2 linked regions of the Arabidopsis thaliana genome follow. The protein of the gene in region 2 purifies or fractionates together with the protein of the main gene of each other region. This does not show direct contact. Each region holds a gene or a part of one and is shown on either strand. Other genes may lie near its edges. The genes, in order: GME and SGT1A.

What was found.
Region 1: the proteins of SGT1A (region 2) and GME fractionate together in Arabidopsis thaliana (co-fractionation; one large-scale study listed by BioGRID). This does not show direct contact.

What each region holds. Positions count from the first base shown.
Region 1 is NC_003076.8:10,859,457-10,867,769, forward strand, and holds GME (GDP-D-mannose 3',5'-epimerase), read right to left. Parts: upstream 5,491-8,313; 5' UTR 5,270-5,490; intron 4,589-5,269; exon of another isoform or gene 4,570-4,588; 5' UTR 4,569-4,569; coding exon 4,159-4,568; intron 4,073-4,158; coding exon 3,976-4,072; intron 3,899-3,975; coding exon 3,769-3,898; intron 3,683-3,768; coding exon 3,550-3,682; intron 3,472-3,549; coding exon 3,264-3,471; intron 3,172-3,263; coding exon 3,016-3,171; 3' UTR 2,560-3,015; downstream 1-2,559. UniProt on the Arabidopsis thaliana protein: Catalyzes a reversible epimerization of GDP-D-mannose that precedes the committed step in the biosynthesis of vitamin C (L-ascorbate), resulting in the hydrolysis of the highly energetic glycosyl-pyrophosphoryl linkage.
Region 2 is NC_003075.7:12,296,919-12,305,423, reverse strand, and holds SGT1A (phosphatase-like protein), read right to left. Parts: upstream 5,547-8,505; 5' UTR 5,410-5,546; coding exon 5,250-5,409; intron 4,675-5,249; coding exon 4,602-4,674; intron 4,415-4,601; coding exon 4,290-4,414; intron 4,142-4,289; coding exon 4,039-4,141; intron 3,965-4,038; coding exon 3,868-3,964; intron 3,786-3,867; coding exon 3,720-3,785; intron 3,627-3,719; coding exon 3,488-3,626; intron 3,395-3,487; coding exon 3,315-3,394; intron 3,231-3,314; coding exon 3,126-3,230; intron 3,039-3,125; coding exon 2,931-3,038; 3' UTR 2,705-2,930; downstream 1-2,704. Other genes in the region: AT4G23580 (Galactose oxidase/kelch repeat superfamily protein), read left to right, coding at 27-1,178. UniProt on the Arabidopsis thaliana protein: Functions in R gene-mediated resistance, but participates in a lower extent than SGT1B to RPP5-mediated resistance. Not required for RPM1, RPS2, RPS4 and RPS5-mediated resistance.

The sequences.
Region 1 (8,313 bases), on a different chromosome or scaffold from region 2:
TATTAAACTTTAAAAATTAAATCACTACTATTAGAAAAAAAACAAATTATATGCGGAGTACCACATATTAAAATTTAGTCTTCTATTTGTATTTGTAGATAATCACACATATATTTATTTATATATTTTTACTAAAAACGATAATATACATATAAGTACAATTATATACATATATATATATATATATATATATATATAACGGTTGACAAAATTATATATAATGTTGATATGTATATAGCACCACATACTTGTACATGTTGGAACTAAAATGCACTTTGCAAATTGTTGGGGTCCAAAATATCCTTTTTACATGGTTGGCAAGGATGAGATATTATGGAATTTCAAGATATTCGTATATAACCAAGTTCTATAAAAATTAGGTTAAACTAATTAAAATAATATATCTTCACTAGGTAATAATTTAGTTAATATTATATATTTTATTATTAAAAGTTTGGTTTTAAATTTTAGTAACTCATACGATCGTGATACTTGTAAAGTATATCGATTGGATTTTGACACGTGTTAAAAAAACTAAAACAACATACGGTAAGTTATAATTCTATAAGGAAATGGATAAAATAAAATAATATTGTAAATATTTTTTTCCTAAAATGAAAAAAATTTCTTTGAAAATATTATGTTGATATTCAAGTTAAAAAATATTGTTTTGTTATTAGATACAGGTGAAATGTATGGATAGAACCAAAAATATTGTGAAGTCGAATCAACATGATTTGTTTGCTTTAGCAAATGAAAGTACATGCTAACTGGTTGTGGATTCATAGGTGTATAGTTTCAGAGTTGTTCATTTTTTTAGGTAACTAAAACACTGGAAAACGATGTAATCAGCAACTATTGAGTAGACATGAATATGACCCAATGCCTCCTCTAGGGTACAAAAACTTAAAACATCCCTTACACCTACATCAACTCGAGGAAGACCAAAGATTGATGGAAATTGTTCTTGGCACAAAAATGAGACATATTTATTTGAATGCTTTCTATGGATCTCATAATTTTGGATGAATCGTAATGCGGCGATAGTGTTGGAGGCAAAGCAGACATGTGGATGCTCTGCTTTACCTATAAATATCCCAAATGGAAAAAGGACAATAGAGATCCTCCAACCCACCAAGAAATCTCATCCAACTTGCAATGTCAGTAGCAACAAAGCCCCAAAACATAAGATGTTTAAATTGATCCCTAATCTGGCCTATTTGATAGCGCCACAAAGCGTTTCTCATTAATTCTGCCAATTGCTGTAGAAAAAATCATGTGTTTTAGTTAGTTCAAAATTTTAGGTAAAACATATTGAATTAAATCTTCTTCTTTCAACAAATTAATGTTTTCAGGATATTAGAAGAGAAATTAGGCTGTGAAAGAATAAAAGACAAATGACTTAGAGATATTATTTCCTTTCATTTTTGGTGGGTTGTTGAATTCATTTTTTTTTGTTTTAAAGAATATTGAGAGATTAATTTAATATATGTTTTCCATTGTTTGTGCGGCTTGCCAAAATGAGAAAGTTAGGTCCGTTGGTGTGATTCAACATAAACTGATTAGGTAGTGGATGCACAATAAGTGCTCGGGCAAGTGTGGGCTAACCTATGAGGAAAGAAATATGGTTATCGTCAATGTCGCAAAATCTTGTCCAAAAGAGAGATGTCTGAGAGTGTTGTGGAAGGATGTAGATTTAGAGAATATATTCTTCTTATTGATCATAAACATGTGTACAAAGTATATATAGAGAGGAGATTGTCGAGATAAACCTAACCGACTATACATGTTAATATACAAACTCACAAAGCCCATATAATCTAACTTAGCCCAATAAAGGAGAGTAAAGTGAGGTGTTGGTGGAAACTAATTCATCTCTAAAAATCTGGAGAAATCGGACAAAGATGATGAACTTGATGATCAATATAGTTTAGGCTTTTAGGGAAGTGTGAAGATGAACTTGATGATCAAATTTTAGTTAACCCAAGTTAAATTTGGGTTGAGTTAAATGCTTCATTTGCTTTTGCATATGATATAAAAGGTGATTTGGGCTCATTTGAGAAGCGACACGAAGAAGAGTGAGAGCAAGAGCAAAACCACAACAAAAAATTGGGTGATTGTTGAGTTGATGATTTGAAATATATCGATTGTCTTATTTTAGATGCATAAATGAATATTTGTAGTATGATGCTAACGTCAAAGATTTTTGAAAAAACACTGATAACATATATATTCAAAGAAGCTAACAATTGAGCCGAAAGTTGCTTAATTGTTTTGAGATTTTACTATGCTTTTCCTTTTGATTTAGTGGTTTTTTTCTTAGTTTTGGATTAAGTTTAAGCTTTATTTCCTTTGATATTATTTAAAATAATAAAAAAACATTATATGTTATGTTATAATAATATCGTCCTTATCTCATATTTGTTTTTTGATAAAATGTATATTCAAAATTTAAAATAGTAAATACGTTATTTTTCGGATCATCTCGAGTCTAAGACCAAATCTTAGAACATGGATAAAAATCTCAAATTTTAGATATTTTGCTGATCGGGAGAGTTGCATAAAAAAAGCAATATATAAACTTAAAACCTTATGATTTATTACGTGTGACATTTTTGACCGAGGAATGGGATAAAGAAGTGGATGGAAGAGAAAGAATGGTGAGTCACCGTGAGTGATCCCTAACCTCTAGAGATGTGTGAATAGATGATAAGATGCAAGAAAAAACACAAGCCACTTACTTGTACTGGTCCGTGAGAGGACCACGACATCAACTTGACTATGATGATAAACATACATACTGTGAATGAAAGGACCACAATAATATGATAACAGACTTAACAATGCAAGCAAACTTTTTCAACTAAACATAAACAAGGATTAGCAGAATAGAAGGAACCAAAATCCAAAACACTTATTATTGCTTTTTTAATAGGAAGCTACCTAAAAATATATCTAAACATTTTGCTGAACTTAAAAGGCCATATTTGAGCTTGACTTATACTTTGGTGAACTTCACTCTTTTCCATCAGCCGCGCGGAGTGAGCCTAGCTGAACCGGTGCTTGAGTTCCAACCACCTTTGATGACCCGTAAAGCGACACATCGCTTCCCTTTGCTTTCTCTTTCTCGATCTGTTCCTTTATCCAGAAGTAGGTTATTCTAAGCCCCTCCTGTTTAACGATTATGGTCAAAACAATATCAGTAATAAAAGAATTAGATTATTATCTTGTCTTTGAGCTACTTAAGTAAATAATGTTGGTACCTTCAATCTCATATTAGGAGCCCAACCAAGCTTTTCTTTGATCAGATTGTTGTCTGAGTTACGACCACGAACACCTTCCGGGCCAGGAATGTGGTGAATTGGAAGCTTCTTTTCCTCAAAGCTGAGAACCATCTCAGCCATCTCATTCATGCTCACCATCTCATCGCTTCCGATGTTCACCGGCTCACGGAAATCTGATTTTGTCAACCTATAAAACAAAAATGACGAAAATATCAGCCAATTACGTCTAACATACAACTTCATCAACATCAGGAGATACCCTCACCTGAGTACACCTTCAACACACTCATCGATAAAGGTAAAAGAACGGGTCTGAAGCCCATCTCCCCACATCTCAAACCTATCAGTGGAAGTCTGAGCCTTCCTACAGAAAGCAGCTGGAGCCTTCTCCCTTCCACCTAAGTTGATCCAAGCAAATATTAATCCCAATAGTAAACAACTAATCATTCACACAAAGTACGGAAACTGTTTATCTGTATACTACCTTTCCATGTTCCAAAAGGACCATAAATGTTATGGAACCTTCCAATTCGACACTCAATACCAAAATCTTTGTTGTAATGCTTACACAACTCCTCCGTAGCAAGCTTCTCCAAACCATAAGCATCTTGAGGCTATATCAGCATCAAAACATCACATAAGAAAAGACTCATAAATCTTTAGCAAGAACATATAAAAAATAATCACAAACCTCTGCAGGCCAAGCATCTGACTCCTTCAAGCTCACATTAGTAGTCTCCAACTGCTTAAACTCTGGATAGATACAAGCACTCGAAGCATAAAAGAACCTAAAGCAAACAAAAAATCCAATCTTTTTAACTTGTTTTAAGAAACCGTAAACTGCGAAAACCGAAGAAAACAAAATCTAACTAACCTCTTAATCCCATTGATCCTAGCAGCCTCAATCATATTGAAACTAATCATAGTATTATTATACATAATCACAGAGTGATTACTCTGGATAAAACCCATACCACCCATATCAGCAGCTAAGTTAAAAACATGATCAACTCCTTCAGTAACTTTGAGACAATTCTCCATAACCCTAAGATCAACAAGATGGAACTCATCACAGAACATGTCTTCAGTCATGTGTTCATTCTTTTTCCAGTCAGAAGCAATCACGTAATGACCTTCGTGCTTCAAACGACGAGCAATGTGAGATGCAATGAAACCTCCAGCTCCTGTTATTGATATCTTGAGATTCTCAGATGGCCAATATTGCTCTCTTTCTAGCTCCTTGTATGTGTATGCTCCATAGTCTGTTCCATTGGTAGTTCCCATTCTACATTAACAAAACAAATCTGTTAAAAACAATAAGATCTCTCATGCAAAAGCTAGACATCACTGTAGAGTCCTAATTTGTGATAAATTTCTATAAAAAAGATTTGGGATTTAGAGAGTTTTGACAGAGGTAAGATTATTGATGCATTGGATTCCGGCGTAAGTTAGCGAAAAACACAAAACTGCGAGGCGTAAGTTAGCCAAAAACACACAAAATTGCAAAACAAATCTGTTAAACACAATAAGATCTCTCATGCAAAAGCTAGAAATCACTGTAGAATCCTAATTTGTGATTAATTTCTGTAAAAAGATTTGGGATTTAGAGAGTTTTGACAGAGAATGCATTGGATTCGGTGTAAGTTAGTGAAAACACACAAAATTGCGACGCTTAAGTTAGCCAAAAACACACAAAATTGCAAAGAAATATGTTAAACACAATAAGATCTCTCATGCGAAAGCTAGAAATCACTGTGGAATCCTAATTTGTGATAAATTTCTGTAAAAAGATTTGGGATTTAGAGAGTTTTGACAGAGGATGCATTGGATTCGGCGTAAGTTAGCGAAAAACACAAAATTGCGAGGCGTAAATTAGCCAAAAACACAGAATTGCGAAATTCGGATCTCAGAGAAGTTTTGATTCAGGAATCTGGGATTTTAAAACCCTAGATTAGTGGAATTGTAAGGAAGATTGGATCTTTTACCTGAGGAAGGTTTTGGAGAGTTGGAGAGATCGAAGAGATAATGCAGAGAAGAGTCAGAGATTTGAGGAAGAGGAAGAGTAAACTTGTATTTATAGAGAGAGAACAGAAGAAGATGAAGAGGAAGATGGAGAGAGCAACACCACTCGTTGTTTTAGTTTTCCAACTCCTATTGGTATTTGTGCCTCTTTCTGTTAAATTTATTTTATAACTAATAAAATCCTTCGAAAAAAAAAATTAATACTTCTTTTGTAGAGAGTTTTTTAGAAAATAGGAGATTTTATAGAAGATTTATTACTTTTTATTAGGTTTGATGATTTATATTATGCATATTATTTTTACTATTTGTTGAATCGTATTTAGATAGATAATAAGAAATGTTTTAGTTTAGAAAAAAAAAAAAACTAAATATTTTCTTTATTGGTGCACCAAACAATTTCATAATTTTTTTATTTTCTAGCTTCAATATATAAAAATATTTGTAAATAATAAATATATGTATATTCTATATATTAATTGAGAAGTTTTTTTAATAAAATATTTATATTGGCGTGTTATTAACGAAACCGTCATGTTGTGATTCTAATCCATTTAAATAATTGTCCAAATTTTACTAGATTATTACAGATTTTTCAATTAGTCTTATTCATACATATATATAATACACATTAAAAGGAAATTCTTATAAAATTCAAATAATTAAGCAATTAATCTTTAAATAATTATTATTTTGAGAAAAATTACTTTAATTTTTGTTATTTTCTAATTAACTAAAACACTATTTAACATATTTTGTATTTGCAAATAATAGTACATCTTCATATATTAAGAAATGTGTTGTAATAAATTTTTATTAAATATATAATTATTTTGTTATTTTAGTGATATATACTGTATTGAATAATTATAATGTACACATAAAAATATAAAATATTATTTATGTTTGTTTATGACATAAGAGCAACCATAAGTCCATTTTTGGAGTTTGAAACTGAAGAGTAAATTAGAAAAAAAAATCTTAAATTAAAATATAATATAAGTTAGATTGATGTTAAAAATTATTTATATAGTTATAGTATATATATAACCTAAACTATATTAGTTGGTTGAAATATTTGAAATAATAATGATTTTAGTAGTATTTTAAAGTTCATAACAATCAAACGGTCGAACCGAGATCAAACTGATTCGAGTTAATGGTCAGGTAGATTTTTATTAAACTTGTAAACTATCAAACCGTATATAAAACCATTAAAATGATTAAATACGTTTGCGAGAAATATAAATATTTAGAGATAGGCGTAATTCTCATTCAATTTTATCATGTTCCATTATATCTTACTCGTTCTCCAATTTATTTCTCATAAGAGAATGCATTTCTAATATGAGAAAAAATTTGTATTCCGATTAGAAACAGAACGTGATGGAAGCAAAAATTCTCTATATCCTGTTTGGGACAAACACAAATATAATTCATGTATATTTTTATATGATATGATATAATAAAAATATTACAAAATTAATTGACTTCTTTCTTCTTATTGTTTAATATTTTGTTCATAAATATTAAATTACATTTGTTTATTTTTAAATTTTAACTATTATAAAGCATACTATAATAACATTTATTATTTTGAGCATTTTTATGCTGTATAAATTGAAAACACATGTTACATATTTGATTGCAAACGTTAATTTGCTTAAATTGTAACTTGTTGTAATCTAAAAGCTATGTTTTTATCCCGTGTTGGCTCCTTCTATGTCGTTCCTTTTTCGTCATTCCTATTCTCGTTATATTACATTAAATATCATGTTCCGAGTTCATTTTTACTTATCTTTAAACACAATACCAGATACAGCTGTAACTTTTGGGGATTAACATATGCTTTGTTAAAATTTGTAAACATACCATAAATTAAAACATGAAAACAAATTGAAAAAATAAATGATCTATCAACTATAATATGTCATACTCATACATTTGTTCTTGTGTACGTGCACATATATGAAAACAAAATTATATTTACTATTTAATATAAATAAATAAACACCGACTTGATATATTATCTCAAATCCAGAAATCCTCTTGTTGATATAATATATAATTAATCAAATATATATATTTGAATTTATTTGATAAACTTTCTTAACTTCAAGAAACAAATCTTAACAATATCATAAAACTAAGAGATAGTTTAATGTGAATAAATTTAGAGAATTAGTTTGAACTAATTGCAAAAACTGTGTAAATTTAAAAATAGCTTGTAATTAGTTAAATTAGTCATCTTGATCTAAATTCAATAGTTCCTTAAATTTGCATTAAAATTACAACATTGGTATTTAAATTTATTTTAATGTTATTTCAAAAAGAAAATAATCAATTCTAGAAGAATGTGTATTCCAAAATCTTGTAACAATTTGATACAAAATAAAATAATTTATTTGATTTGAAATTGAATAATTTATCTGGCTCTAAATAAAACAATCAGATATATTAATTATTATAATTCTTTTTAAAAAATATATTAAAAATTTGGGTTAATTATATATTTAAAATAATGAAACTACCCGTTTTTAAAAACAAAAAAATATATTCTAAAACTTTATATCATTGAAACTCTAATTAAATGTTAAAATATTTTAATATACCCTGGAAATATTTTCTAGATATTTAGAATCCAAAAAATAAGTTTTTGAATAAGCTGTATTTTAAATGATAGAAGTATTTCGTTTAGATTATATACGACAAATATAATAAATGTTTTTTCATATCTGAAAAATCATAATTGAAAAATCTTTTTTGTCATGTATACAAATGAGATTTAATTAGCATAGTTTTGTTAAGGAAGATTTTAAAATCTAAACGAAATGATAATTTGTTATTAGATTGCCATATTCGAAAATATCTAATAATATCTTACGAAAATAATTTAGTTTACATATATGCATTTTTCAATTAAACATACAATATATTTGCATTTTTAAAGATATTTCTATATTTTAGTAGTTGTTAATTTACTAAATTACTCATGCAAAAATTCATTTAC
Region 2 (8,505 bases):
TAAGAGAAAAAAAGTGATCAACAACCATGGAATATGGAGAAGAGCCCCCGATTAAAAGAACTAGAAGAAGTTTTCTAATGCTTCCTGATGATTTGGTATTAAACTGCTTAGCTCGCATCTCAAGATTACATTATCCAACTCTCTCATTAGTCTCCAAAACATTTCGCTCTCTTCTTGCTTCAACGGAGCTTTACCAAACCCGAATCCTCTTAGGCCGAACCGAGAGTTGTCTTTACGCGTGCTTACGACTCCGTACCGATTCTGAACTACTACATTGGTTCATTCTGTGCCACAGACCACATAGCTCCAAAAACGTTTTGGTTCCGATTTCATCTCCCAGTTTTACCTCCCCATCCCTGCCGGGTGTTGTAGTGGTTGGTCCTGATGTATATGCCATTGGCGGTGGATCAAAGAATAAAAACGTTTCGATATATGCCACTGGATCAAAGACTTATAACGCTTTGTCTAGCGTTATGATTATGAACTCTCGTTCTCACACATGGCATGAAGCTCCAAGCATGCGGGTGGGCCGTGTGTTTCCATCTGCTTGTACTCTTGATGGGAGAATATATGTTACGGGAGGCTGCGACAATCTCGATACAATGAACTGGATGGAGATTTTTGATACGAAGACTCAAACTTGGGAGTTTCTACAGATCCCTAGCGAGGAGATATGCAAAGGCTCTGAGTACTTAAGCGTAAGTTATCAAGGAACCGTCTATGTGAAGTCTGATGAAAAAGATGTGACTTACAAGATGCATAAAGGTAAATGGAGAGAGGCAGACATATGTATGAATAATGGATGGAGTCTGTCGTCATCATCATCTTATTGTGTGGTAGAGAACGTGTTCTACCGTTACTGTGAGGGGGAGATACGTTGGTATGACCTCAAGAATAGAGCATGGACAATTTTGAAGGGCTTGGGAAGATTGCCTAGTTTGCCTACTTCTCATTCAAATGTTAAATTGGCGGATCATGGTGGAAAAATGGCGATTTCTTGGGAGGAGTATATGTTTGTTGATAGGGAAAAAAAGATTTGGTGTGCGGAAATTGCGATTGAAAAACACCAAAATGGGGAAATTTGGGGAACGCTTGAGTGGTTTGACAATGTGTTTATATCCAAAACGCCAAACGGTTATGTGGGTTTAGTGCATGCTCTTACTGCTACGGTTTGGTGAATTTTGTCAACCACCCATGCAATATTTATCATTTTCTTTTTGATAGTCTTGTCGAACTGTTTGTCTTAGATTTTTTTTTCTTCTTTTTTTGCAATTTTATTTGGCAACATGTAACTATCAAGTTCTTGTTGCAAAGCTGGCTCACTTTGATAAATCATTCATCATTCAACTAAAAATGTTAACTGCCTCAATTTTTTCCACTATTTACATGTTTTACCGATGTAAAGACTTTGAAAAAGTCTTGATATGGATATGTATCATCATAGTATGTCTTCCAATATTTAGTGTTAAGTTTTTCATTTAAGTGTGGGTGTAACATTCTAATGAAATCTTCACCCAAATCTTTCAAGAAGCCAAATTGGCTTTGTTTTTTTGGCTTTCATTATTAACTTTGTTACATTAGAGATCAAACAAGGAAAAATACACATGAGAGATAACAAATGGCGTTTACTTCAAAAAAACCTCGCTACTTAATCTCACTATACAATCTGAATTTGCAAAAACAGTTACCACAACTTCCTCTGTCTTTTTGGTAGTACTCGTGTCTGTTTAACACTCAAGAATATGAGATATATATTTAATGATTCTTAAAAACTTAGCATTGTTTTCTACAATACATGTACTTGGCTTTAGCTGGTGCTGCAGTCGCAGGGGTGACATCAACAGATACTGGTGGTGCTGTCGAACTTGAAGGCAAAGCCGAAGGCACCGATTGAACCAAATCTTTCTCTTATCAAGGTGATCAAAGAAGATACGTTGGTCAACCTAAGATAGTTCATTTATTATAAGATTTTTGACGGATGAAATTGGATCAGAGCCTTTTAGGGTTTTTTTTGGCTAGTTGAGAAAACTTTAGATTTTGTTAGTTAAAACAGGTGTGGGTAGTTCATATATATAGATCATAGGCGGCCTTAAAAACAAATAGATTTCTTCTCCTATTACGTGCGGCTGATTGGATTATTGAACATTAAGGATTATTGACTCGATGCTCTGATCACCTGCATAATCAAAAGAATATTCCATGTCAATATATATTAAAAAATCACAATTTTATCGGAAAATAAAGGTTGTGAGATGTAAAAATTTTACACAAATAACGTGGGTTTTTTATTTCTTTGGAATATATGGAAGTTTAAGTTCGAAGGCTCTATATGTTCGAGAAGCAGGATCTACAACAAGTTAAATTCATTTCTTTTAAAGAAAACATATCTCTAAAGATGTCGAATCCAACATCTCTACCTAGAAAATATACCATTGGACAACACCAAGTCGGTAACGTAGTTCCTTTCATAATTACAAATATTGTATAACTCTTTAATAAAAAATCACTTTCTCCATACTTAAGTTTAAAACGACTCTAAAGTGACAATTTACAACTCGATCGAGACGACTCTAAAGTGACAATTTACAACTCGATCGAGAGGTTAACTCAATTCTTTGACTTTTAACTCCATACTTGGGATATATTTGGTTTTGTAGACTAATTAAGTAAGTTTTAACAAAAACTAAAGAATAGTGATCATGATGAAATTATGAATACTCAAATAAAAACAAAAACAAAAAAGTTGAGACCTAAAGACAATATAACTCACAAGTCACAACATAGCAGAGGTAGAAAGCCATATTTAACAAAAAAGCAAAAACCTTAGGATCCTCATTACAGGAAGAAAGGGACCAGGTTTCAAGATTTGTCTACATTTAGGCAAAATTCACAACTGCATAAAAAGGAAAGGATCATCATATCATATCAGATCAGATCTCCCATTTCTTGAGCTCCATGCCATCCGGAGGAGTACTCTCGATTGTCTTAGTCCCAACCTCTTGCCAGTTTGTTGACAGCACTGTCCCATTCGATTCCACCTGCTCATTGTTCAAAACCCGAAAACCATAAATGAGTCGATCAAAAGGACAAAACTTTTACAGTACTCCATGAAAAGAGATACTCACAAATGATTTGCTCATCGCTCGCCTCATATCCTCATCCGCATTCTGGTATATCTCCCGGAAGAATTTGTTCAAAGCTGCGTCTCCTTCCAGCTTCTCATCTTTTTCCTGCAAGTCAACCACAATCAAACAAAAGAAGAGAAAAAACAAAACCGTTTGGTCGAGGTTTTAAGTACATGGTAAGAGACGGACCTGCTTCTTCACTTCAGCTTCCAGCTTGTCCCAGTCCTTAACTTTCTTAGAAGATGGATAAGCTGGCCTCTGTGAAACCTCTGCATCATCATACATACAACATAAGATTTACATTACAAGAGACTGTTGTTTAAGCTCATCAGATGACACTGAAGAAGGAAAAGGTAGAAAACCTGATGAGACATTAGGCTTTGGCAAAACCGCTGGCCCTTTGCCGTGTTCGAGGGAGGCCCATGTGATTATATCGGCTTTTGCAAGACAGATCTCAATTTTGGTCGACAATACTTCATATTTGCACTTATCTGGTATTATCTGAATATACACCGTAAAACAAAGTCATGTAACATGTTCAGCTCAGAGTGTTGAAAGAAAAACCAACATTAATTCATTCAACAGATAAATTACCTTTCCAAACAATCTCGGTTGGAGATAATACGCATCCTCTCCAGGAACCTCAATCACAACACTCAGCTTCAAAACACAAAACAATACCATTAACACACAAGCACACAGAAGTGCCATTGAGTTGGGTTCTTAAGAGCCTTATACTCACAATTTGTTCACCAAAGTCGATGTTAACATTCTGCTTGGGTATTCCTTTTGCAAAAACAGTTACCACAACTTCCTCTGGCTTTTGGTAGTACTCGTGCCTGTTAACACTCAAGAATATCAGATATTTAATGATTCTTAAAAACTTTGGTATTGTTTTCTACAATAAAACTACCTGTACTTGGCTGTAGGGGTGACATCAAGTTCAGATACTGGTGGTGCTGTCACACTTGAAGGCAAAGTCGAAGGCACCGGTTGAACCAAATCTTTCTCTTCTTCTGGAAAAAGGATATTTACAAGTTCCATAGATCAAAACCTTAGGTGAATTACATAACAAAATATTTTGCACCATGGCAAACAATACAATCACTCTAGGCATGTAAACATAATCAACCAGAAAACAAGAAAAAAACACAAAAAACATACCTGTGATTAGAAAATTGCATTCATCTATCAACTTCTTAAATTTGGATTCACTCGGCGTGATAGAGGCACCCTTTTCAAGAGCTGTTTTAGCAGTCCGATACTCTTCAAGCTTCATACAGGCAGTTCTACAAATACAAAAACCAAACCATGAACAATGGAAGTAATAGCTTGACAGATATATACCACATTTGCAGACCATATAAACTGGTAGTAAAACAATCTAAGGACTAAGGAATCAGAGAAAATTAAACTCTCACTACAACTTATATACGACTTAAAAATGTTACATAGGAGGAAATAGCAAAACGTTACCCTTTTCTTAGGTAAGCTTTGGTCAATGAAGGATCCAACTCAATTGCTTTGTTCGCATCTGCCACGGCCTCTGCTCATTGAGAATCAAATGAGACCAAAATCTTATCCAACTAGTAAAGTTCTATGATACTACGCTAAAAATGCAGAGAATACTTTCTTAAAGCAAGAAATAGTTGAACTAAAGACTAATCACTCAAGCAAAAATTGAAACTTTCAATACTCCGTTAATACTTAACACTATCTGTAAACAAAATTCTCCATATTCACAATCAAAGAATCAAAAGACTAGCACAGCTAAAACCAACTTAAACCAATGTTTGAATGCATAACTTGTAAAGGGCACTCGCTACTGATAACAAATAACTAAATTTCGTTTCTCATGAAAGCAATTCCGATACATTGTTCCTCCACAAACAGCAAAAGAGAGACACATTAGTATCAAATTGATACGAAAGCTTTAAACTTTCGAAAAGAATTGTGACACTATCAAGCGACAGGACACAAAACGAAACCCTAAATACACATAATCCAGCAAAGTCAACAACTTTCAGCTATGATGAAGTAAGAAACCGAAAACATACAAAAACCCAGAACCCCAGAAGGCGTCCACGACAGTAAAAGACGAAGATAACAGAACAAAGAAGCTACCAGTGAAGCTTTCGAGTTTGATATAGGCCTGAGCACGATCAGCGAAGAACTCAGCGCAATTAGGATCCAAGTCAATGGCTTTGGAGTACAAGTCAACAGCAACATCGAAGTCATCGTCTACGAAAGCCTCTTTAGCCTTATCAGCAAGCTCCTTCGCCATCGATTGACTAAGAAAAAAAAACAGAGGAGAGCTAACAAAGACGATGAAATCAAAACAAGGAGGGAATGAAGTAGAGGGCAAGGTTTGTTACTTATTGCCACAATGGAAGGAAGGAATATAAAGAGAGATTGGATGTTATCGTTCTTCTTCTAGATTGTTCCTTCGTTTTATGCGACTTGTGTTCAGGGAGTTGAAGAGTTCGAACCCAAAATAAAATTTATAAAAACAATAATTTAAATATTTTTCTATTTTTTCCACAAAGTTTCTCCTTATTTTTCTAAAATAATATATTTCATTTTCTATAAATTTAATTTTGTGTGTACATCAAATATGTGAGATTTGATATTATTAAGAAAAATAGGTGAGGTCTCTAGTGTATATATTTTCGTTTAAAAAAAAAAATATATATTTTGTACATGTTGGAATTTTGTTACTTCACTTCAAAAACATTTCATGTACTTTGTCAAGTTTTCTAGAGTTAAAATAGTGTCTGACTTAGATGATGAATAACTGGTTTAATTTATTATGGATCACAAATTACATAGTGGATTTGACAATTTTATGATTAACCAAAGTGGGACTATTGCCTTAGAAAATATTGTTTTCCTAGCAGTTTCGTGGAACCTTATTGGAAGATTCAAATATGTGTGGATAGGGATGGAGAAGTCAATTTATTAGTGTCAAGTGGATGTGGTGAAGTCAATTTAAATAGTATCATATCAACTTTGCTTATGAGTTGAGTTGACCCACAATAACGTTAAATATCAACCTGCATCTGTAAAATTCTTTTTTTTTTTTAATGTTTAGTTCAATATAATTAACCTTGTTCCTCGTATATAAAAAGAAATCTGTGACAAATAGCCGACAAAAAAAAAATCTGTTGGGTTTGATTTGGACCGGAATATAGACATTGCGGCCTATCAAGAAATAAAACTTGGGCTAATCAAACAACGAAAGCCTGCCTATAGTAGATACGAGATAATGTTGATGCTCCCTCATCGGAAGTTTGAGGATGGGCACTCGTGTGTAGCATAGTATAAATAAAGAAGATGGTCGAGGATTGCAAATTACTTACCTGGACGGGGTTTACGGGTGATCATGAAGATCCGTGGCCTAGGCTGGTGGCTTCCTGCACTTGAGGTGCGCTAAGCCAAAGGTCACCCCAAGTGGGAGATCCTGCGTCATTATTTGTTGCCTTGGGGGCCTGCGTTCGCGCGGCCCCTTCCATTTCCAATAGTTCAATCTTTTGATCGTCGTTTTGACTGAGTTAATTAGAGCTAGATCTTAGTCAATGGCTCATGTTACATTTATTTTCACAGATCCAGAAGAAAAAAAAATTCTGTCTAAGTACCAGCTAGGCTGGTTATTGGATAGTGTTAGCGATCCAAGACACTGATGGAGGCAAATCATTGTAATGGGCTCATAGTTGCTGTTAATGGATCTGGTGCTTCTCAAATATTTCATTTGGTTGCAGTCTAACACAAGTTTGCGTTAGAGTGTTAGTGGCAAAAGCTGAAAGTTTCAAGCCCTTATGGTGCAAGATTGATTTATGCCACAGATCAAATGTTGTGGAAGCGGTGCGCATTGCATCCTTTGTGGATCAAACCATTCTCTTTGTTCGAAGAAGTGTAAAGAATGTGTCAAGAATTTTGGCAGCAGAGACGTGACTAGTAACTTTGTAGCTAAGTTCATTTCTTTTAGGAACATTAAAGTTGGCCCAAGATTTATTTACTTGTAGGATTTTGTTGGCGTTTTGCCATATCAGCTTTATCTTTACCTTTTTATGGATGTTTCCATCTTAAAAAGTACAAGATCCAAGTTTCTCTCTATGTAGAAAGATGAGCTTGAAATTGATTTCTTATCCAAAAGGTGAACCATATATAGACACATACACTAGACTCTTTGCTCAAGGTCCGTGGCTAAGGGGGATTTTAAATTTACCATTTTTGCTAGTATTTAAACCATGAGTCTCAGTCTCACCATTATTTTAACAATTTGATCAGCAAACATATAGAAGAACAATTTCAGAGCTCCAAGGCTACATGAATTTGCATCAAGACTCCAAATAATTGGTTCCAGTTTCAGAGCTCTGCTCTAGATGAAAACAATGATCTCTAATTAACTCCTTTCATTTTGGGTTTCATAATGACAATAAATATGACAATGCTTTAAACAAAAAAAACATGTAAAGTAATAAATGAAAATGAGCTTGGCAGAGTAATTAACGCATTATTATTAGGGAGTTGTAACGTACACGAATTTGCGTTAGGCGAAAAGAGAATAGTGGACATAAAACTTTGTCACATGCTTTGCCATCACGCCCATCACCTTATAACCATCGACTCTGACCAAAATTATTATTTTAAATTTTGTATTTATAAACAAAAACTTTGATGTTGAAGACGTCTATATTGATCTCATTTGGCAGAAATTGTGAAGGTAAAGAAACAAAGTAGAAATAAATTGTGAGAATGAGGAGCATAATAGTATCACTACAGCTAAACCAGGATTAAAACTAGAAATGATTTCAATTTTTAGAAACGATATGATAGAGTGGCAAATTAACTCTTGAAAAAATACTCCATATGTTTCACAAACAATGTCGTTTTGACACTTTACTAAACTTATACGGTACCAAAACCGTGAAAATAACGTCAATCATCATCAATCATTTAGAGAGAAATTAAATAAACTATTGTGTATATAATTGAATTAAATTAAATGAACTAATACATGTATCCAATATGATCATGAACTGTACTGTCCCTAGTTGAGTTCCGTTTTATTTCATCATTAAAAACCCAATAACGAAAGAGGAATTAAAAACATATATACGGTGAACACGCATGCAAGAAATTTGTGCAATAGGTTTACACTTAGCAGGAAAAGAGGAACAAAAAACAATTAGTTATAATAACTGATAACTGAAATAAGTTTATGACAACTGAAAACAAAATAAAATAAAAACTAACGGCAAAATCTAACATTGACGACGTTGTAAGGAATGGGTGCTGAAATGTTTTTATACAGACATTTCAACCGCACGGCATCTCCATATTACTACGTACTAGTCCAGTCAATCAGTATTCTCACACG